4 linked regions of the Arabidopsis thaliana genome follow. The main gene of each other region encodes a partner of the protein of the gene in region 3 in a complex. Each region holds a gene or a part of one and is shown on either strand. Other genes may lie near its edges.

Evidence for each region.
Region 1: SERAT2;2 (region 3) and OASB share a complex: the UniProt entries of both Arabidopsis thaliana proteins name them as parts of the cysteine synthase complex.
Region 2: SERAT2;2 (region 3) and OASA1 share a complex: the UniProt entries of both Arabidopsis thaliana proteins name them as parts of the cysteine synthase complex.
Region 4: SERAT2;2 (region 3) and OASC share a complex: the UniProt entries of both Arabidopsis thaliana proteins name them as parts of the cysteine synthase complex.

Annotation. Positions count from the first base shown.
Region 1 is NC_003071.7:18,128,740-18,134,490, reverse strand, and holds OASB (O-acetylserine (thiol) lyase B), read left to right. Parts: upstream 1-1,852; 5' UTR 1,853-2,168; coding exon 2,169-2,411; intron 2,412-2,597; coding exon 2,598-2,707; intron 2,708-2,794; coding exon 2,795-2,852; intron 2,853-2,955; coding exon 2,956-3,219; intron 3,220-3,489; coding exon 3,490-3,627; intron 3,628-3,759; coding exon 3,760-3,811; intron 3,812-3,896; coding exon 3,897-3,976; intron 3,977-4,083; coding exon 4,084-4,143; intron 4,144-4,271; coding exon 4,272-4,352; intron 4,353-4,649; exon of another isoform or gene 4,650-4,794; coding exon 4,795-4,887; 3' UTR 4,888-5,056; downstream 5,057-5,751. Other genes in the region: AT2G43770 (Transducin/WD40 repeat-like superfamily protein), read left to right, coding at 1-219; AT2G43760 (molybdopterin biosynthesis MoaE family protein), read right to left, coding at 619-1,215; AT2G43745 (jacalin lectin-like protein), read left to right, coding at 5,136-5,513, 5,600-5,632. UniProt on the Arabidopsis thaliana protein: Acts as a major cysteine synthase.
Region 2 is NC_003075.7:8,517,439-8,522,691, reverse strand, and holds OASA1 (O-acetylserine (thiol) lyase (OAS-TL)), read left to right. Parts: upstream 1-2,095; 5' UTR 2,096-2,360; exon of another isoform or gene 2,361-2,555; intron 2,556-2,625; exon of another isoform or gene 2,626-2,628; 5' UTR 2,629-2,641; coding exon 2,642-2,674; intron 2,675-2,761; coding exon 2,762-2,871; intron 2,872-2,958; coding exon 2,959-3,016; intron 3,017-3,096; coding exon 3,097-3,360; intron 3,361-3,451; coding exon 3,452-3,589; intron 3,590-3,686; coding exon 3,687-3,738; intron 3,739-3,867; coding exon 3,868-3,947; intron 3,948-4,054; coding exon 4,055-4,114; intron 4,115-4,201; coding exon 4,202-4,282; intron 4,283-4,390; coding exon 4,391-4,483; 3' UTR 4,484-4,732; downstream 4,733-5,253. Other genes in the region: AT4G14900 (FRIGIDA-like protein), read left to right, coding at 140-315, 418-933; FdC1 (2Fe-2S ferredoxin-like superfamily protein), read right to left, coding at 1,341-1,805; SECE1 (secE/sec61-gamma protein transport protein), read right to left, coding at 4,911-5,253. UniProt on the Arabidopsis thaliana protein: Acts as a major cysteine synthase, probably involved in maintaining organic sulfur level.
Region 3 is NC_003074.8:4,213,649-4,218,125, reverse strand, and holds SERAT2;2 (serine acetyltransferase 2;2), read left to right. Parts: upstream 1-1,823; 5' UTR 1,824-2,011; coding exon 2,012-3,187; 3' UTR 3,188-3,727; downstream 3,728-4,477. Other genes in the region: ABCC7 (multidrug resistance-associated protein 7), read left to right, coding at 3,953-4,477.
Region 4 is NC_003074.8:22,071,441-22,077,324, reverse strand, and holds OASC (O-acetylserine (thiol) lyase), read left to right. Parts: upstream 1-1,908; 5' UTR 1,909-1,979; coding exon 1,980-2,336; intron 2,337-2,496; coding exon 2,497-2,606; intron 2,607-2,692; coding exon 2,693-2,750; intron 2,751-2,880; coding exon 2,881-3,144; intron 3,145-3,406; coding exon 3,407-3,544; intron 3,545-3,671; coding exon 3,672-3,723; intron 3,724-3,822; coding exon 3,823-3,902; intron 3,903-4,053; coding exon 4,054-4,113; intron 4,114-4,234; coding exon 4,235-4,315; coding exon of another isoform or gene 4,316-4,328; intron 4,329-4,564; coding exon 4,565-4,651; coding exon of another isoform or gene 4,652-4,664; exon of another isoform or gene 4,665-5,061; intron 5,062-5,191; coding exon 5,192-5,206; 3' UTR 5,207-5,377; downstream 5,378-5,884. Other genes in the region: AT3G59750 (Concanavalin A-like lectin protein kinase family protein), read left to right, coding at 5,504-5,884. UniProt on the Arabidopsis thaliana protein: Acts as a cysteine synthase. Plays a role in the sulfide detoxification in mitochondria.

The sequences.
Region 1 (5,751 bases), on a different chromosome or scaffold from region 3:
GAGAAGAACCTGCTGAAATGTTCATGGTCACCTGATGGTACAAAAGTTACTGCCGGTAGCTCAGACCGTATGGTTCATATCTGGGACACAACCAGTCGGCGCACTATATATAAGCTCCCAGGCCATACCGGTTCTGTCAATGAGTGTGTTTTCCACCCAACCGAGCCTATCATTGGATCTTGCAGTAGTGATAAAAATATCTACTTGGGAGAGATCTGAATTTCAAAGCTGTGAAACCTTTGCAACTCTAAGTGGAATTGAAGTCTTTAGAATCGACGATGTGCTTTGAGACATTTTGTTTATTGAAAGAAAAAACGAAACATTGCTCTTTGGTACAAGTAATCAAGATTTGTTATCTCCTGTAATATCTTCATTACGCTCTTTATCTTCTTCTACTTTAACAGATGAGGTCATCATTTTAGTTCTCCTTAAAATTGTTATCTTTGGTATTACAATCTTGCAGTATCTTCGATTAGATTCTTACAGATTCAAGCAGTAGCAAGTATAAGCCCAGTCCAGTAACCAACTAACGCATATAAGTCTTTAGATTCAACAATGTGCTTAAGAAAGTTTGTCTATTGAAAGTAAAAAGCGAAACAGTGTTACTGCTACAAGTGATCAAGAAGAAGATTTGTTATCTCCTGTAATATCTTTATGCTCTTCATCTTCTTCTACTCTAACTTTGCTTCCACAGCAACCTCTTCTTCTATGTTCTTCAACCACAGTTTTTTTTACAATGCTGTCTCTTTTCTCTGCAAGCTCCAATCTTTTCTCCATAAACTCAGAATTCTCCTTCCAAATCTCTCCATTAGTGTAAACCTCTTTCTTCCATATCGGAACCGATGCCTTCAACTCGTCGATCAAGAACTTGCAAGCATCTAAACCATCTGCACGGTGAACAGATGAGACCGCAATGAGCACGCTAGTTTCTCCAACAGGAACTGGTCCAAGACGGTGAGCAACAGCAATCTTGTGGATATCCCAAGTTGATCTAGCAGTTGTACAGATCGAGCTGAGGCATCGTGTGGCCATTGGCACATATGCTTCATACCTTAACTCCAACACTGTCTTGCCCTCGAACATGTCTCTTGTAGTGCCTGAGAATGTCGCAATAGCACCAGCTTGAGGGGCACTGACATAATCAATGTACTTAACAACATCGACTTTGTGACCTTCCTCCAAGATCTCTATAAGGTTCTTCTCCTCTGCAGACATCTTTGATCCAATAGTAAACCTCGATACAATCGATGTTCTAGGAAGAGTAAACCAAGCTTAGCAGATGATCCGATAGCAAATTCTAACCTGCAATTGGAGGAAATAAACAACCATGACTATCTCATCACCTATCATCCAAAACTAATCAAACAGACAATTTGTTTAGTCAAAGGCAAACAGAGCAAATGAGGAACCTTTCTTGCGCAATCTAATGGCAATCACATCTTACTAATCCAGAAATGGAAGAGTCAAATCAACAAAGTAGGAGAATAGTGGACCAATGAACAAACTCAAAAAACGATGTCTCAAATCGGATTAAGAATTTGCCAAATCGGTCAATTTTTATTGAATCAGACAAAAACAGCAAAGGCACAAAACTCGTCTACAAAACTGACCAAAGTTCGAGTTTTTGTAAGATTGAGGATCGAATGGATAGAATCATAGAAAGACAGAGATAACGACAAAGAAGAATCGTCTCTTTCAGTACCTTACTACACTAAAAGTTTGTAATAACTTTAACAGCTACCCAGAAATTAAAAGAAGGCAAAGAACAAAAAGAGATCCAGAAAGATTTTATCTGACCTTTGAGAGTTTGGTAGGGCTGCATGATGAAGAAGAACATGTGCTCTATATTCACCTTCTTGTTGGATCAGACTAGTAGGTTGGTGAGATTGTAAAAAACAAAACTTTACTAATTCAATTTCAAAGTCTCTTCTTTTCTCCAGATACTCTGTTTTACCATTCAAGGAAAAAGGATAAATCTTGTAGAAAGAAGATGCCAAAATGATTTTTTTATTTAGAAATTAAACAGCGACGTCGTTTTGCAGCTACAGTGCGATCATCTAATCAGTCAGTGTCTTCAAGTTTAAACCGCATCTCTAGTCTCTCTCTACTTCTCTCTGTGTACAATATTCGGAAAGTGAGGAAGATACACTGAAGCAAAAGAGCAAGTCATGGCGGCGACATCTTCCTCTGCTTTTCTCCTTAATCCGTTGACTTCTCGCCACCGTCCTTTCAAATACTCGCCAGAGCTCTCTTCTCTCTCCTTATCCTCTCGAAAGGCTGCTGCTTTCGATGTTTCCTCAGCTGCTTTCACGCTCAAGAGACAGAGCCGGAGTGATGTTGTGTGCAAGGCTGTATCTATCAAGCCAGAAGCTGGTGTTGAAGGGCTCAATATCGCCGATAACGCCGCTCAGGTTAGATTGTGTTTCGTTTGCATTTGGATAGAGACAGAGGAAATCTAAATTGGTGATCAATTTTGTCAATTTAGGGGAAGATATAAACTAACTGAGTATTATTAGTCTTGTAAATTTGACTTCTTTGAATTTTGATTTCGTTTCTAATTTTTTTATATTCTTTCTGAATGTTATGAATTGATTCAGCTTATTGGGAAAACTCCGATGGTGTACTTGAACAATGTAGTCAAGGGCTGTGTTGCAAGTGTTGCTGCTAAGCTTGAGATCATGGAACCATGTTGCAGTGTCAAGGATAGGTTTGTGTATCCAAATATAATTTGATTTTGGTTTTGCTATCTTTCACATTTATACATTCTGAGCTTGTGTTGTTGTGGTGATTTCAGGATTGGGTACAGTATGATTACTGATGCTGAAGAGAAAGGACTTATAACACCTGGAAAGGTATTTGATTATGGATTTGACCTTTTATTGTTGTTGAATGATTCTGTATTGAGTGTCAACTGTCAAGCCCTCTGATTTTGTTTTCTTGCTGCAAATGTTTTAGAGTGTTCTTGTGGAATCTACGAGTGGGAACACAGGGATTGGCCTTGCATTCATTGCTGCTTCAAAAGGCTATAAACTTATCTTGACGATGCCTGCGTCCATGAGTTTGGAAAGGCGGGTTCTTTTGAGGGCATTTGGAGCTGAGCTTGTGTTAACTGAACCTGCAAAAGGTATGACTGGAGCAATTCAGAAGGCTGAAGAAATCTTGAAAAAAACTCCCAATTCCTACATGCTCCAACAGTTTGACAACCCTGCCAATCCCAAGGTCTGTAATTACTTCTTGTTTCATCATACTCTCTAACTGTGACATGAATTATGAGCTACGATTACTTCTGGCCTTGTACAGTAGTAAGAGGTGGTGTGTGAAAGGGTTCATTAGAGATGATAGTGAAATTCTTCCGCACTTCCTTTTGGATTGTTGTAGAGTTTCTATGGTATACAGTTTTGAATCATCACGATTATATCTGGGATTCACTGGTTCCATTGGTAAAAGCTGCAAGTATTTGTTAGTGTTTTGATATAAGATTAAATGCAGATTCATTATGAGACGACTGGTCCTGAGATTTGGGAAGATACAAGAGGCAAAATCGATATATTGGTTGCGGGGATTGGAACTGGTGGAACTATCACTGGTGTTGGTCGATTCATTAAAGAAAGAAAACCTGAATTGAAGGTACATAGCAAGAGGGCTTGTAGCATATCAGCTGGAATCAACTGTAGATGTTATAACCTCCGTAATTAGATTTAGTTGATGTTTACTTGTACTTGTAGTTATATTTAATTAGTTGATGTTTACTTGTACCAGGTTATTGGTGTCGAACCCACGGAAAGTGCTATACTTTCTGGTGGAAAACCCGGTAAGGCAGTGATTTTGTTTTTCTTGTTTCTCTGGCACGTTATTCTTTTTATCTTGCGTTTATTTGACATGTATTTGAAATGCAGGACCTCACAAGATTCAAGGAATTGGAGCTGGATTTGTACCCAAGAATTTGGATCTGGCTATTGTAGATGAATACATAGCGGTATGATCTGTTGGTTTGGTTCTCTATAACTATACATTCATCTTTTTCACTTTCAGCAAGCAACAATTTTCCTTTTTAACTTCACCTGTTTTGTTGCTTCTTATCAGATTTCCAGTGAGGAAGCTATTGAAACCTCGAAGCAACTAGCTCTCCAGGAAGGCTTGTTGGTTAGTCTATATTTGTTATTCTGTTTGACTTATTTGTTAGTGGGAACACTCTTTATAAAAGATAGAAAACGAATGTAAATGCATATGAGAAATCTATGACGATTAGTAAACGACTATAACCTTTTCAGGTTGGTATATCTTCTGGAGCTGCTGCTGCTGCTGCAATCCAGGTTGCAAAGAGACCTGAAAATGCCGGGAAACTCATAGCCGTAAGTCCTCAATGTTCTTCATCATAATTTCTTTATGGACCAAAACCTAGTCTTGTATCTGTGACCAACCACTGAATGATATAGAAAAAGAGTTCTTAAGTTATCTAATCATGAACCTTGGTCCTTTTAGAGTCTTACTACTTATTTTAACATTTGTATTTGAGTAGTTGGTTTGGTTTATACGTCTAATGAACGTTTACGTTGCCTTAATCTCTCTGCCACACCAAACCCTAGTCATTGCAAAGAACAAGAGAGGAGCTTAATCTCTCTGCCACACCAAACCCTAGTCATTGCAAAGAACAAGAGAGGAGCTTATTATTCAATTACTATAGCCCAACGTAGGGAATCAGTGAAAGGATTTTAGCTTAGTATGGAGTAAAAAATATAACAGATTCATCATATGTATAGTTTGATATGTGAGTTGCTGAATCTTGGTTTTCAGGTTGTGTTCCCGAGCTTCGGGGAACGTTACCTCTCGACCCAGCTTTTCCAGTCGATTCGAGAAGAGTGCGAGCAAATGCAGCCCGAGCTTTGATTTTCTTCTGTAATTTCGTGACCAACAAGGAACCTCTTCTTTGATTTATTGCTGATTGTTTTTCTTCTAATAGACGTTTCTGCAGAAATCTCTACGTCTACTGTGTATATTTACAATTCGCAACGCAATTTGGTGTTTGTTATTAATAAAGGCATAAGAGGTTTTGGTCAAACGAAGAGTCTTCTTCTTGAGCACAATTTTCGAGCGTTTTGTTTAATGTACCTGGAAACTTGTTTAGCTTTCTCCCAATGGAATCCATAAATGAAAGTTATGACGACTCTTCGAGTTTTGGACAAGACAGTCTCCTATATAATCGTCCTTTCGCCTATCTATATCTCTCCTTCCACTTAAAACTATTGTACTCTGTGCCTGCTTCTTATATAGCGATGATAAGAGCAGGATCAGTGGGAAAAAAATCGACATGTGAGTATACTTATTGGGACGACGGTGTTGGAGAAGAGGTGATGGGTGACGATAGTTGGGATTACGAGGGACGCAAGATCTCTCACATATATGTTGCTTTCGACGAAGTCATAATGTCTATTCAGTTTGGTTTTTTGGAGAATGGAGCTCTAGTCCTGTCTAAACAGCATGGTGGCATTGAGGAGGGCTCCAACTTTCGTGTTGTAAGTTTTGTGTCAATAACAATTATTTATTTTTGCGTTTGCGTAAGATCCGGTCAAGTTTTGTTTTTGATGAAGTTTAAACGCAGTTGAGACTGAATCAAGACGAATATGTAACTTGATTAAGTGGAGTACTAAGAAAGCATGGTGGAGGGATCAGAAATTTGACATTTCGCACTAACGTCGGGGAGTATATGATTGGACGTTCAAGCGACAATTATCCAAATCATTGGAAGATAGA
Region 2 (5,253 bases), on a different chromosome or scaffold from region 3:
CTTCTTTACCTTTGATTACCATTAGATGTTTTTAGCTATATATTGGGGAAGCACAAGTTGTTGTCTTTTGTCATGGGAATCTGTGAGTAGTATCTGAAATGGAAAATGATGGTTTTTGGGTTGTTATGGCTTCACACAGATATGATTGAAGAGTTGATAATCAGGGGACAACAGCTTGATGCGGTTCATTTCACTTTTGAAGTTGGTCTTGTACACTTGTTCCCTCCTGTTCCTTTGCTCAAAGCTTATCTGAGGGATGCAAAGAAAGCTACAGCTTTAATCACTGATGATTCCAACAATTCTGGCCGATCTGCGGTACTTTCCTCCATTTGTGTTACTCGTTTTCTTTGCTGGATCCATTTGCAGGGATCTGTTTCTTCTGCACTCGCTTACCAATGTATGTGTGTATTTTTCTAGCATCTTGTGGCGCGCAAAGAGCAATCAGCACTTAGAGCAGTCTTAAAATGCATAGAAGAATACAAACTCGAGGAAGAATTCCCACCCGAGAATCTCAAGAAGAGGTTGGATCAGCTAGAGAAGACCAAAACCGAGAAGAGAAAACCAGCCGTGATTCCCGCCAACAAGAGAACCCGAGCAAGCTACAGCGGTCCAATGCCACCAGCCAAAGCAGGGCGTATCACAAACGCTTACGTCTCCTCTTTCCCACCGCCTCCACCAACATTCATCAGATCCCAAAGTCACTCACCTCAATACGGTGTACCAGCATACACCACATCCCCACCTACCATCTACAGCAACAGGAGCCCTCCATACCAATACTCACCCGAGGCGGTTCATGGTTCTTACCAAACCTCTCCGGTCAGTTATCCGACAGCATATGGTACCTACTGCAGTCCGGTGGCTGCTCCACCCCCTCCAGTTTACCATCCTCACCCGCACCACCACCACCATATTCAGCATGCTTACTACTGATTAGACAATGACAAAGGAAAAAAGAAGATGGTAAGTAACCAACCACTGATCTCTGGTGTCTACGTTTTGTCTCTACCTCGTTTTTGTTGTAATCTCTCTTTTTTTATATCGTATCATTTGTAGCTAACACTCTCACTCTTTCTGGTTCTGAATTAGTCTACCCTTGTGTGTTTATTAATCTAAATTATACATATCTATTCACTTTCCTAATGTTTCAATCAACGAATTTAGTTCAGTACTTAATAGATTCATCTTAAACCAGGAATGTTTCACTGTGATTATGTTATGTATCACTGTTTGTATTGGCTCATTGAAATCAAGATTTCGAAGTCTCATAGCAAGATTCGTTACAAAGTGTTCGTATTACACCAAAAAAAAGACTTCTTTAGTCTAAATCAAGAAGATGATTAGTCGTTGGCAGTGGCGAGCTGGAGAGACAAGAGTTCTTCCTCAGGGATCATCTTAATGTGACAATCAGAAGTTGGATACGAAGCACATAGAAGCGTGTAGCCACGTTCAACCACATCATCACTTAGCATCCCACCACTTTGATCCACCGTTCCGGTCACGAGTTTCGCTGGACAAGTCATACAAACACCGAGATTGCAGTCGTAGGGAACGTCAAGGCCAGAGTCAAGAGCCTTAGATAGAATCGTCTCGTCTGGTTCGACTTCCAATTCAGTCGTCTTTCCGTCGTGCTCTACCACCACTTTATATGCCCGAGCTATGATCCTTCCGGTGGTGAGAAAGTTCCGGCGGTTTGTTGTTGTTGAGAGTGTTGCGTTACGGAGTGGGAAGGAGAAGGAATTGGAGAGATAAGGTTTAGGGAGAGAGATTGTAGAAGTTTGAGTCGGGAGAGGAAGAGTCGCCATGAGAGACAGAGAGACGGAGACAAAAGAGTTTTTGTGTCAAGTGAGAGTGATGACTGTTTGTGGTGAATACGGAGATAAGGTTGATCATCGGTTGTAGATAGTGGTGGGACATAAAAACCGAAAACCGACTTAAACCGAAATTCATTAATGCATTAAACCGAATTAACCAAGATCTAATAAAATGAATTTTAAAATTTTAATTATATTCGTAATTAAGGGAAATATTTTTTCCAAAACAGTTTGAACAAATAAATTCAGTATTATTTTTCCATACTCAAAACTCCAAATCGGACTAACTGAAAAAAAGAAACCGAATGTTCAAACCCCAGTTATGGAAAATATTAACCGGACTTAATACGGATATGACCAAATCAGACCGAGAAGTAGTAATTCTGGTGACCAACCACCGCGTTTTTCTAAATTGATAGCGTGTGCCATGTGACTGACACCAAAGAGATCATATATCTCATCATTCGAAGATTTTATTCCATACAACCGATTTTCTCCATTTTCTTCAAAACGATTCGGGTCAAGGTTATTGACTTTCTCATTCAGGTATCATCTTCTTCCTCGTCCCATACTTTTTGATTCACTTGCTTATTCCTCTGCCGGTTTCGATTATATTTGTTTGGATCGGATAATTGTATGGGCTTAAGCTTATTTCGCTGTTAAATCTGTTGATTTGGTGTTAAGAGTGTTGTATAACTGGATTGGTGCTCATACATCTGGAGATTTATGTTTGATGATTTTGTATGATGTGTTTTTGGTTTGAGGATGATTTATTCCTTTGGTCTTACTTTTCTCTTTTTGTGAATTTAAGCAGTGAAGCTTGAATCATGGCCTCGAGAATTGCTAAAGATGTGACTGAAGTAAGGCTTTCAAGTTCTTTCACTGTTCATTTCACGAAGGAGTGAGCTTTGTTCCATGTTCATGTATTGATTGATTCTATTTGGCAGTTGATTGGGAACACTCCATTGGTGTATTTGAACAATGTTGCTGAAGGATGTGTTGGTCGTGTTGCTGCTAAGCTTGAGATGATGGAACCGTGCTCTAGCGTCAAAGACAGGTTTCTTCTCTAGTCCAGAAACTATGTGTTGTTTCTCGCTTCGAGTTTCGGTTTTGTGAAGACCTTGTACTTTGTTTATTTCTGCAGGATTGGTTTTAGCATGATTTCTGATGCAGAAAAGAAGGGTCTTATCAAACCAGGAGAGGTCAGTTTCGATTATCTGAATCTTCAAACCACTATTTTGTTTTTGTTTTCATTGTTTCTGACTTTTTGTTTGTTCTTTAGAGTGTGCTGATTGAGCCAACAAGTGGAAACACTGGAGTTGGGTTAGCATTCACGGCAGCTGCCAAAGGCTACAAGCTTATTATTACAATGCCAGCTTCTATGAGTACTGAGAGAAGAATCATTCTCTTAGCTTTTGGAGTTGAGTTGGTTTTAACTGACCCAGCTAAGGGCATGAAAGGAGCTATCGCAAAGGCGGAAGAGATTTTGGCGAAAACACCCAATGGTTACATGCTTCAGCAGTTTGAGAACCCTGCCAACCCTAAGGTATGCTTATTATTTACTATTGCTTTAGTGTATCTGTTTTTGTCTGTTTTTGAACCATATTAAGTCGATGGAATTTCACTGTCAAATGCAGATCCACTATGAGACTACGGGACCTGAGATATGGAAAGGCACTGGTGGCAAAATCGATGGCTTTGTTTCTGGGATTGGTACTGGTGGTACCATTACAGGTGCTGGGAAGTATCTTAAAGAACAGAACGCAAACGTCAAGGTGAGAGCTCCATCTTTTCGAACAACTGGCTTTGTTATCTAAGTGACTAAGTGGTGTGTCTTTGCACGGTTTCTCATTTTGTTTCCTCTTCTGTTAGCTGTATGGAGTGGAGCCAGTTGAAAGTGCTATTCTATCCGGTGGGAAGCCAGGTGATTTTGGTTCCCCCTGCGTTTATTACGATAACCATGCATGCATGTTCCTCGTTTCTCGGTTTGCCTCATGTCTTATTTTTTATCCTCGGAGTTTCCTAACACATGATGTTTGCTGAAAATATCAAGGTCCTCACAAGATTCAAGGGATAGGAGCTGGTTTTATACCAAGTGTATTGAATGTTGATCTTATTGACGAAGTTGTTCAGGTAAGACTGCTTTTCGATATTATCGACTGATAGCAAAACACAATTGAATGCAAGAGAGCTTCATTTCTTACTTGACTCTCTCCATTTTCCTGTAACGCTTTCAACAGGTTTCAAGTGATGAATCCATTGACATGGCAAGGCAGCTTGCTCTTAAAGAAGGTCTTCTTGTAAGTGTTTCACATTTCACAACAAAAAGCTATCTCCATCAGAATTACAACTTCGTTCTGTTTCTAAAAACAAAAGCTATACTGTAGGTGGGAATATCATCCGGTGCAGCAGCTGCTGCAGCAATTAAACTTGCACAGAGGCCAGAAAACGCTGGGAAGCTATTTGTGGTAAGCTCTTTGATTCTATCATCACCCCAAAGCCAATAAGCTCTGATTACATAACCCGGATTTCTTTCTGATTCTGATGTAAACGAAATCAACTGAATTATTTTACAGGCGATATTCCCGAGTTTCGGGGAGAGGTATCTATCAACGGTACTTTTCGATGCGACAAGGAAAGAAGCGGAAGCCATGACCTTCGAGGCTTGAACATTCTCCATTTCTTCTTAAGAGACGCCAAAATAAAAGAGATGTTCAGTTTCTCCTATAGAGACTCTTCATCTTTAGTTACATTGCGTCTTTGCTTCCATCTGTATCTTCTCTTGTGTGCCAATAAAAGTCAAACTAGATTTTCTCTGTTTCTTTTGTGAACCACTTGCTTGTTAATGAAGTTTAAATTTGCTATGTAACTTTGTTCATAAGTATCATACTGTTTCATGATCAAAACTAAACCAACATAACCCAAGTCAATATTTCAGGCTAAATATAAGATTAGGATAAGAAGAAGGTAATGCTCAAAAGGAGTGATTCCGATAATTCTCTTTATCATCATCTACACAAATCAACAATGTTTCGATTTCTCATTGCAATCACTAAAAATTGTACACACAAATTTTACCATTTTCAATTCACAGGATCAGCTGAAGAAGTCTTGAACACCTCTTCCGATGAACACTCGATCAGAGAGTTCAGCCAAAAGGAAATTGACAGTGAGCAAGACGACGCTAGAGCCAGCGATAACACCGAGCACGACGCCGGTAGTTCCGAGAACTTTCTGAAACGCCGGCCACTCAATCTCCTTCACTTCCTCCGCAACTCCACTAAGAAACTCGTTCTTCCCTTTCTCTTCCTCCGCCGTTTTCCTCTGCTCCATCGCTGCTTTTATCTCTGCTCCTATCGCGCTAATCTCCACTTCCTTATCTTCTCCGCTTCCACTCTCTTCCGCCGGTGACGGAGTCGCTTCTGATTCCGATTCAGAT
Region 3 (4,477 bases):
GCTTCACGGATCTATAGACTAACTAAGTCATCTGTCATTACATACGTCACGTTTATTTCATTTTATAATTACAAAAACACCAAAGTTAAATCAAATTATTCTTTGTTTTTGTCAACTGATTTGATATTGATAAATTTGTTGAAATTAAGTATATAGTACACACGGGAGTGACTAAAAAAAAAAAAAAAAAAAGAGAAACTAAAGCCGATATGCAATGAATAAATACTCGGAATCAAAAACGGGAGGAACACAAAAAATTATTGGAGTCTAAGCCATATAGAAAAAAAAAAGATATTAAAACCACAAAGCATAAAACTCAAAGCAAAATGAAAAAAAAACATATATTCTTACCTAAAAATATAAGCAACTAGGCATATATAAACCTTACTAAACAACACTAGTTAAGTCAAATTAGTCTTAAATTGATTTATGAAAGGTCTATTATACACGTCTAACAAAAAGGGTTTATATATCTCGAAGGTGGCAATGAAATATATAGTTCTTGTGTTGAACAAAGGTAATGAAATATTTAAAATTAAATTTCACTTGTATGGGATTGCACTTGCTCGTATTCACGTCATAGTGAATTGTGATAATATATTCTTTTTTTTCTTTTCATTGTGATAATTTTATTTTTTAGTCGTTATAGTTTGTTGTTTTGGTATATACAAAAAAGAATGAACAACAAAAAAGTGGGTTGATGGTAACCAAAAAAAAGTAGGTGTCACAAAAAAGAACATGTGATAGATGAGCCTCACTCCCGAAAAGAAGATGTACACAAAAACTCTGACCACAATTTAAAATGATAATAAACATGTGTTTTTTAAAATTCTTTTACCAAACAAGTGCTACTTTATTACGACAGTCGACATATATGTCCTTTTAATTTTTGTTAATTCAATCGCACGAGAATTAAAACAATGATTCGATTTGCTATGCCATTTTTTTTCAAAAATAAATTACACACATTTTTCTAAATTAAATCCCAAAGAAAATATAAACAAATCTTATTATATAAATTATGGTTTTCAAAGTTACTAACTCATACGATTATACCACGTGTCAAGTCTATCGATCAGATGTTGATACGTGTAAGAAAATAATTAACTTTTTTCTTTTAAAAAAAATAGAAATACTAAAAAAGAAATCAATTAACTTTTTTCTTCTTAAAGAATTAGATAACTAAAAAATAAATCATTATTAACATATACTAATTCATATGACTATATCTAAAAAAGATTACATTTTATTTTTCTTAACCAAAAGGATAATTAACAAAAAAAATATATATATGTTATTGGTCAAATTTTTAATATATATGGTATTAACAAAATTTGTATTATTATTAATTATGTTTTGTTAATTGTTAATAATTTTTAATATTAACTAAGATATAGATTTGATCTCATATAAATATTATTTTGACATGAAATTATTATCAAGTAAGATGAAGTGTGTAGAATTAAAATCGAGTTTTTTATGAAATAGATAGTTAAAATGTATTACAAAATTGAATGTGTAAGATAAAAATTTGTTTTTTTATTCTAAATACTAAATTATAATAAAGAAAAAATGTGTATGTTACTATTTAGACTTCAAATATCATCAATAAGATTGAATGAGTATAATAAAATAAAATGCATAAAACTACTATTTTACTATTCAAAATTATATATCAAAACAATATATAAATTATTATTTTACTATTCAAAATTTAAATATTATTGATAAAAAATTATATTTACATCTTACACCTGACCTTATCTAGTTTCTTATATAAGTTGCAATAAAAATACCAACAGATTCATAACTTTTTTTGGCACCCAGTCTCTCCACTCCTAGTGGCCACTAGTGTTCACACACAGTCAAAAAATTTTAATACAAAAAAAATTAGGAATCGAATTCAAAAAGGAAAGAAATCTAAAGAAGAAGACAGAGAGAGAAACAATCTCCAAAATACATAAATTTGTTCACATCCTTCCGTTTTTTGTTTGGCCGAGAAAAAAAAAAAATGTTGCCGGTCACAAGTCGCCGCCACTTCACAATGTCCCTATATATGCTCCGTTCATCTTCTCCACACATCAATCATCACTCTTTCCTTCTTCCTTCTTTTGTTTCCTCCAAATTCAAACACCATACTTTATCTCCTCCTCCTTCTCCTCCTCCTCCTCCTCCTATGGCTGCGTGCATCGACACCTGCCGCACTGGTAAACCCCAGATTTCTCCTCGCGATTCTTCTAAACACCACGACGATGAATCTGGCTTTCGTTACATGAACTACTTCCGTTATCCTGATCGATCTTCCTTCAATGGAACCCAGACCAAAACCCTCCATACTCGTCCTTTGCTTGAAGATCTCGATCGCGACGCTGAAGTCGATGATGTTTGGGCCAAAATCCGAGAAGAGGCTAAATCTGATATCGCCAAAGAACCTATTGTTTCCGCTTATTATCACGCTTCGATTGTTTCTCAGCGTTCGTTGGAAGCTGCGTTGGCGAATACTTTATCTGTTAAACTCAGCAATTTGAATCTTCCAAGCAACACGCTTTTCGATTTGTTCTCTGGTGTTCTTCAAGGAAACCCAGATATTGTTGAATCTGTCAAGCTAGATCTTTTAGCTGTTAAGGAGAGAGATCCTGCTTGTATAAGCTACGTTCATTGTTTCCTTCACTTTAAAGGCTTCCTCGCTTGTCAAGCGCATCGTATTGCTCATGAGCTTTGGACTCAGGACAGAAAAATCCTAGCTTTGTTGATCCAGAACAGAGTCTCTGAAGCCTTCGCTGTTGATTTCCACCCTGGAGCTAAAATCGGTACCGGGATTTTGCTAGACCATGCTACGGCTATTGTGATCGGTGAGACGGCGGTTGTGGGGAACAATGTTTCGATTCTCCATAACGTTACGCTTGGAGGAACGGGGAAACAGTGTGGAGATAGGCACCCGAAGATTGGCGATGGGGTTTTGATTGGAGCTGGGACTTGTATTTTGGGGAATATCACGATTGGTGAAGGAGCTAAGATTGGTGCGGGGTCGGTGGTGTTGAAAGACGTGCCGCCGCGTACGACGGCTGTTGGAAATCCGGCGAGGTTGCTTGGTGGTAAAGATAATCCGAAAACGCATGACAAGATTCCTGGTTTGACTATGGACCAGACGTCGCATATATCCGAGTGGTCGGATTATGTAATTTGAAAAAGTCTTTGTTTTTGGTTGTTGTTGTTGTTTATGGCTTTTCATTGTTCTCTCGGCTTCTTCTGTTATTGAAGCTGGTGAAGTATATGATATGCGATGATGCTGTTTCCATAATCAGATCATTTGTCTCTCCATAAGATAACACTGATTAAGATGGGATTGGAAAGTAAACTCGGAAACTCTGAACTCTGTTTAGTGGAGTTTCCTGTGGTTGGTTTCTGATTAGCAGAGACTTAAGATATGTTTAGTATGTAAGTGCTTATTTGGTTAAACCATGATTTCTGTGATCAGATTGTTGGGAAGAAACTGAAGATTCATCATTATTGTCTTGAGTTTTGTTTTGCTTACTACAGCTTTCTAGGAAATTATAACAAGACTAGTCAGGATCCAGGATTGCTTGCTACAATCAACTAGAACTCTACCTATTCTTCTGTAAGTGTCATCTGTTTCTGTTAAAACTTGTTGTAGAAAAAGTGGTGGGGTTAGATAGGAGTGGTATTTTCCATGAAATCGTCTCGATCTTTTTGGATTGTTGCGGAGAAACTTTTTAAAATATTATGTTTTCTCAAAGAAATTTCATTTGAATTTCTGGGAATTGAGGTTTGAAGCATTAAAAAAGCTAAGGGAAGACGTTGAGACGTCAAGGAATTATAAATTATTCCCCACTCAAGAGTTTGTCTTCGAAATAATATATTTATTGACGACTTCTCTATATATACTGTCCATCGTGATAGTCTTGAACAATATTCTCGTATCCATTGCCTAATGAAACAGAGTTACGCGATGGACAATCCTATCGTTTTTTTCCTCCTTGAGTCCAATTATTTTCCAATGTTCTCCATTTTCTTTAATCTTCTTTTGTTGCTAGTTATGTTTGGTTCCTGTGTTTACAAGAAAAGGTTGGGTTGGGAAAATAGTGATGCTTTCACGAATGAGAGGTTTAAGGATATGTCTTTAACATACAATAAACTGGTCGTTATATGTTGTGAGACTTTGTCTGCCTTGAATTCTGTGTTGTTGCTGTTAAGTTGCTTCAACCTGCATAAAAATGGTTGGGATCGCAGCGAACTGATGATTCTCTTAGATCTTTTATTTACAGCCCTTTCTTGGGGTGCCATCTCTTTCTACATACGTAGTCAATTTACCTATTCTCATGATCAAAAGTTTCCTATTTTGCTTAGAGTCTGGTGGGTTTTGTATTTTATGTTTTCTTGCTACCGTCTTTTGGTAGACATTGCTCTATACAAGAAGCAAGAACTGGTGTCAGTTCACCTTTTATTGTCTGATGTA
Region 4 (5,884 bases), about 18 Mb from region 3:
ACTTAGTCGAAGTAGTTTATCAAATTCAGTCTAAAAAGTACATTATAGACCAAAAAAAAAAAAAAAAAATAGCCCACTTTTAGTTGAAATCATACTAAATAGCAACACTTTTAGAAGAGATAAACACATTAGTCGGAACACCTGTAACGAACTTAGTTACAAAAGACTGTGCACACTCAAACAAGTTAGCACCTAGTCGCAACACTTAGTTGAGATACGAACCTAAATATCTCTAATCAATCGTTTGTAAACCACATTTTAGTTTAGCCAAAAACAGTCGAATACTCAAACATTATATCACTTTTTAGTTTCGTCAAATCATATTGAATAGTCGAAAAATAAACGAAATGCGTTCTCGGGTAATAAGTATTCTAGAGCAAAAATGTGATTAAAAACAATATGAGTAAAATGCATTCATGAATTATGAAGTTGCAAATTTCAACCAGCTGATGCCGACGTGTTGGATTTCAGGAAGTTGTTGGATATCAAAGACCCTTGGAGATCTTAGGGTTTAGGCTTCTAGAGGCTTTAAGCATTGTACAATTTGTAAACTTCAAAGCATTAGTCGGGGTTGTTCTTAGTCGAGTTGAATAATTAGGCTTAATTATTCTTAATTGTTCTTAGTGTTAGTTCTTTTTGTCTTCACGGGCGGCTGATAAGAAATAGAGGACAATTAGGCTTAATTATTCATTCAGGTAGAAAATGTCGGGGTTGTTCATTCAGGGGTTGTTCATTAAACTTAATTCTCCTTAGTCGGGGTTGTTCATTCAGGTAGAATATGTCAAGTAAGTTCCGAGATAATACTTGTTAAAGAGTTTATTATCAATAAAAATAAAGTTTAAGCACTTGTTGTTTGCAAGTGAATTCTCTGTGTTGTTTTTGTCTCTATACCTTTTAAATTATATTTTTATTGAATATATAGAGTAAATGTAAAATGGTAAGACTTTTGGTATATAGTTTTTTAAGTGAATTTGACGCATAAATTTCATGAAACTCTTACATAATATATATATCAAAATTGTATAACAAAATTTTTGTATTTTACAGACATTACTTAAAATTGCATAACTACAAACGAAAAACAACCAATTTTCTCAGACTTTTACAGTTTGTACTTCGAATGGTTAAGAAATCAGATTCTATTGATGTGGTTACTCGTTACCCAATAAAATAGTAATTGATCATAATTTAATGTTCTATTGATGTAGAAGTCTTAGAAGATACTTACTAATGGACGAAAATATCGAGAAAGAAAAAAAAAAAGGTACAACAACGGCATATTTCCGTGAGAATAATGCGCGTGGAACGATTAATGTGGCTATTCATTGCTTAACGGCCTTTTTAGTGTCGGCTCTAAGGCCCATTTTTGTCTTTGTGCAAATTTAACGGTGAATGTGTTTGTTCAGGTGTTTTACATTTTTTTTTTTTGAGTGTTGGAACGCTTTTGTTAGAGTTTATGTAGCTCGGATTAAGACAACCCTAATTGGCTAATTGCTACCGCCTACCATTGTTTGACTCAGTTATACGGGCTTAAGATGAGCTGATTCCTTATCGAACAAACCAAAACCAAATAATGTCAAATTTAAGAAGAAGAATCTTTTCAAGTTACATTTTCTCAGAAGCTTTTGGTTCCTTTGTTACTGACTATTTCCTTGTTGACCAAACCAAAACCAAACAATGTCAAATTCAAGAACAAGAATATCTAACGGCAACGGATCCAAGACGATGAATTTGACATTAAAAAAAAAAAAGTTAACCAGAAAGATTCATGCAACACTTGAGAGGTATGAAGGTACGAATAAGAACACATTCTCCACGTTCGCTTTTGGTCAGTGCACTTCACTTGGTTGGTGATTAAAAAAAAAATGTATAAAATATAAAAATGAAACTTAATATAAAGTTGAAAGCTTGGTCTAAAAATGGACCGTATCTGAAAATCCAATCGACGTCGTATTCCAAGAAAATAGAAAAGTAGGATCATGGTGGCGATGATCATGGCTTCAAGGTTTAACCGGGAAGCTAAGCTCGCATCTCAAATCTTGTCTACACTTTTGGGAAACCGAAGCTGCTACACATCCATGGCCGCCACATCTTCCTCTGCTTTACTTCTTAATCCGTTGACTTCTTCTTCTTCTTCTTCTACTCTCCGTCGTTTCAGATGCTCGCCAGAGATCTCTTCTCTCTCCTTCTCCTCCGCTTCTGATTTCTCTCTAGCGATGAAGAGGCAGAGTCGGAGTTTTGCTGATGGTTCGGAACGAGATCCGTCTGTTGTGTGTGAGGCTGTTAAGCGCGAGACTGGACCTGATGGACTCAACATCGCTGACAATGTGTCTCAGGTTAGATTTGAAATTGAAATTGGTGATCAAATTTTTGAGCTTTCCTCTAATGGGAATGTTGGCGAAAGTGTGATTGTCCATTAAAATTTGAAACTTGATTAGCTTTTTAAATAGTTCAGAATTTACTTACGTATCTCTCATTGTTCTTGGCTTGATTCAGCTCATTGGGAAAACTCCTATGGTGTACTTGAACAGTATAGCAAAAGGTTGTGTAGCAAATATTGCTGCCAAACTCGAGATCATGGAGCCATGTTGCAGTGTCAAGGATAGGTCTGTAGCTTAAGTCTTTTGTGGCTTGTTTGTATGTTTTTAGTTGAGTCCCTTCAAGTCCTAACTTTTATGTTTCACGGATTCAGGATTGGGTACAGTATGGTTACTGATGCTGAGCAAAAAGGATTTATATCACCTGGAAAGGTATCGATTATAGATTGATCAGTCTTTTGTAAAGTTTAATGGATGAGACCAGCTTTTACACACATAAAGTTGTACAATCTATAGTCTGTTATTTCTGGTGGTTAATCATGTCCTTACTGCATTGATCTAGAGTGTTCTTGTGGAACCTACAAGTGGAAACACGGGTATTGGCCTAGCATTCATCGCTGCTTCAAGGGGCTATAGACTTATCTTGACAATGCCAGCATCCATGAGTATGGAAAGAAGGGTTCTTTTAAAGGCATTTGGAGCTGAGCTTGTATTAACAGATCCTGCTAAAGGCATGACTGGAGCGGTTCAGAAGGCTGAAGAGATCTTGAAAAACACTCCTGATGCATACATGCTCCAACAGTTTGACAACCCTGCAAATCCAAAGGTTTGTGGTTTATATTTTTCCTTATTTGTGTCATGATTTGGTTTTTGCTCTAGTCATGTACCATAAGAAGAGAAATGAAATGTTAAGTTAGAGTTAACCAGAAACTCATCTGTATTTAGAGAATGCCCACAAGTGTGTAACTGAAGTGGTTTTCACTTAAACTGTACAAGCAAATTGGGAAGTGGCTGATCCTTTGAAATCGGCATGATCTTCTGTGAGGTTCTCTTGTCACGTTTGTAAACTCAAGTTTGAATATACGCAGATTCATTACGAGACTACTGGTCCTGAGATCTGGGATGATACAAAGGGCAAGGTGGATATCTTTGTTGCAGGAATTGGAACTGGTGGAACTATCACTGGTGTTGGTCGATTTATTAAAGAGAAAAATCCCAAAACGCAGGTAGATGCAAAAGTTCAATGGTTTCATTCTTAGCTGGAGTACATTTTCAGGTGTTATTTAGACAGTATTGTATGTTCATTCAAGCAATATAATTCGTAGTTAACTATTCGATGTTTACATGTACCAGGTTATTGGTGTAGAACCCACCGAAAGCGATATACTTTCTGGTGGCAAACCGGGTAAGGCTTGCCAATAGATATCAATCAGTAATTTTGTTTCCATGATTTCGAAATATGATCTTATATTCACGTATTTTGCTTTCTCTTGCATTTATACAGGACCTCACAAGATTCAAGGAATTGGAGCTGGATTTATACCTAAGAATTTGGATCAGAAAATTATGGATGAAGTCATAGCGGTATGATTTATTTTGTTGGATTCTGTATGGTTATACAATTTATCTGGTTTCCACAAAACATCCACAATTCTTGTGTCAATTTATTGCTTAAATTTTCCAATTCCTGAGACTCAAACTTCATCAATTACTATCTTCTTTTTGCGTTTACCAGATTTCAAGTGAGGAAGCTATAGAAACCGCAAAGCAACTAGCTCTTAAGGAAGGCTTGATGGTTAGTTCTTTGCAGTATTTATGATTTCTGAGTGGGAACCACACGGATGTTGTGGTGTCATGTTGCATGTGAAAGGTGGAAATTACACAAGATTCTTACGTGAATGTAATAATCTTGTCAGGTTGGTATATCATCTGGAGCTGCAGCTGCTGCTGCAATCAAGGTGGCTAAGAGACCTGAGAATGCTGGAAAACTCATAGCTGTAAGTCTTTTCGGTTTCAGTTATGTGTTATGTCTTGAAAACAAAAAGGTGGTGCAAGGGGTCTTTGTGCAACATATAGATGGATTGCTTTAGATTTCATCTTAAGATAGATTTGAGGATTATTAAAGTCTCCCGAGTCTGTGATCCAATACTAAACCAAAGAATCAACAATATAGTCACTTGGCTAGTTAGATTGTTAAATCTTCTAAGTAGGTAACTGTTAATGAATCTATGAATGCGGTTTTTCAGGTTGTTTTCCCGAGCTTCGGGGAGAGATATCTATCGACCCCGCTGTTCCAGTCTATCCGGGAAGAGGTGGAGAAAATGCAGCCTGAGGTATGAACATTAGCAACTTGGTCTACTTCTGCAAAGCTCTTTCTCCCATAATTACAGTCTGAGTGCTAAGCAATTTATTTTTATCAATAAGGCATTAGTGAATGTGGTTTGAGTTCTATTTTGGATATCCAACACTAGTCTATGTTTTACTCAACATTTTCTGTTGGAAATCCCAATGCTTAATTATATTGAATTGAACAAGATGATTGATCCCTTGTTTGTTTTTCTTGTTAACCTAAAAAATATTAACTTTCATGAGTATTTTCATATATAATGATCAACGATGATAGGTTAGTGATATAACTTTACTTTTTCATGTAGACCAATAGAAAAAAATAAAATCAGAATCTAACTCTAAAACATGTCAAAAACTTATTTTTAATACAAATTTTGTGGTCAAAACTTTGGATGTGAAACTTACTTTGTTCGATTATTGCTTTTAAAGTACTTTTTGATGTTTTCCAGTTTTCACACAGTTTTAAGATCATAGAAAAATCCCGTCTTTTTGAAATTTTGATCCATATATTTTCTAATGCTCAGAGAGTCAGCGGTTAATATTAGGATTAGGACACGCTCTACCAATCCCACGATAATTGCTTTGAATCCAATGAAGATTGGAAGATTATTATCTTAATTGCTTTACGACTTGGTTTAGGCCCCATGTGTGTGTAAATACATAAATTTTTAATATGAACAACGCGGAAATCCATGTGAACGTTCGTTTCCATTTTGTTCGACCCTACTTTTGCAGTTTGGAATTCTTTTATACTCTTACTTAACTCTCAATGAGATGATAAAAATATCTCATATGATCAATTTCTTCCCATAAGCAAAAACAAAAAAAATCCTAACATGCCTAGTGAACTCAAAGTCTTGCATATAGTTCTTGTTCTGCTCTATACTCTGTCTTCATCTACTTACAACTCCAATGGAAACTGGACCCTGGAGGGCTCTGCAGCTGACAACTCCATTGGTGACACCATTTTAACGAACACCAAGAAGCATTCCTGCGGTCAAACTTTCAACAACGAATCCATTCCCATAAAAGATTCGTCTTTCAGCTTCCACTTCCTCTTTGGAATAGTACCTGAGCATACACAGTCCGGTTCACATGGCATGTCTTTCGTTATCTCTCCTACAGCAGGCCTTCCAGGAGCTTCCTCCGATCAGTACCTCGGATTATTCAATGAAACAACCAACGGTAAATCATCAAACCACGTTATAGCTATCGAG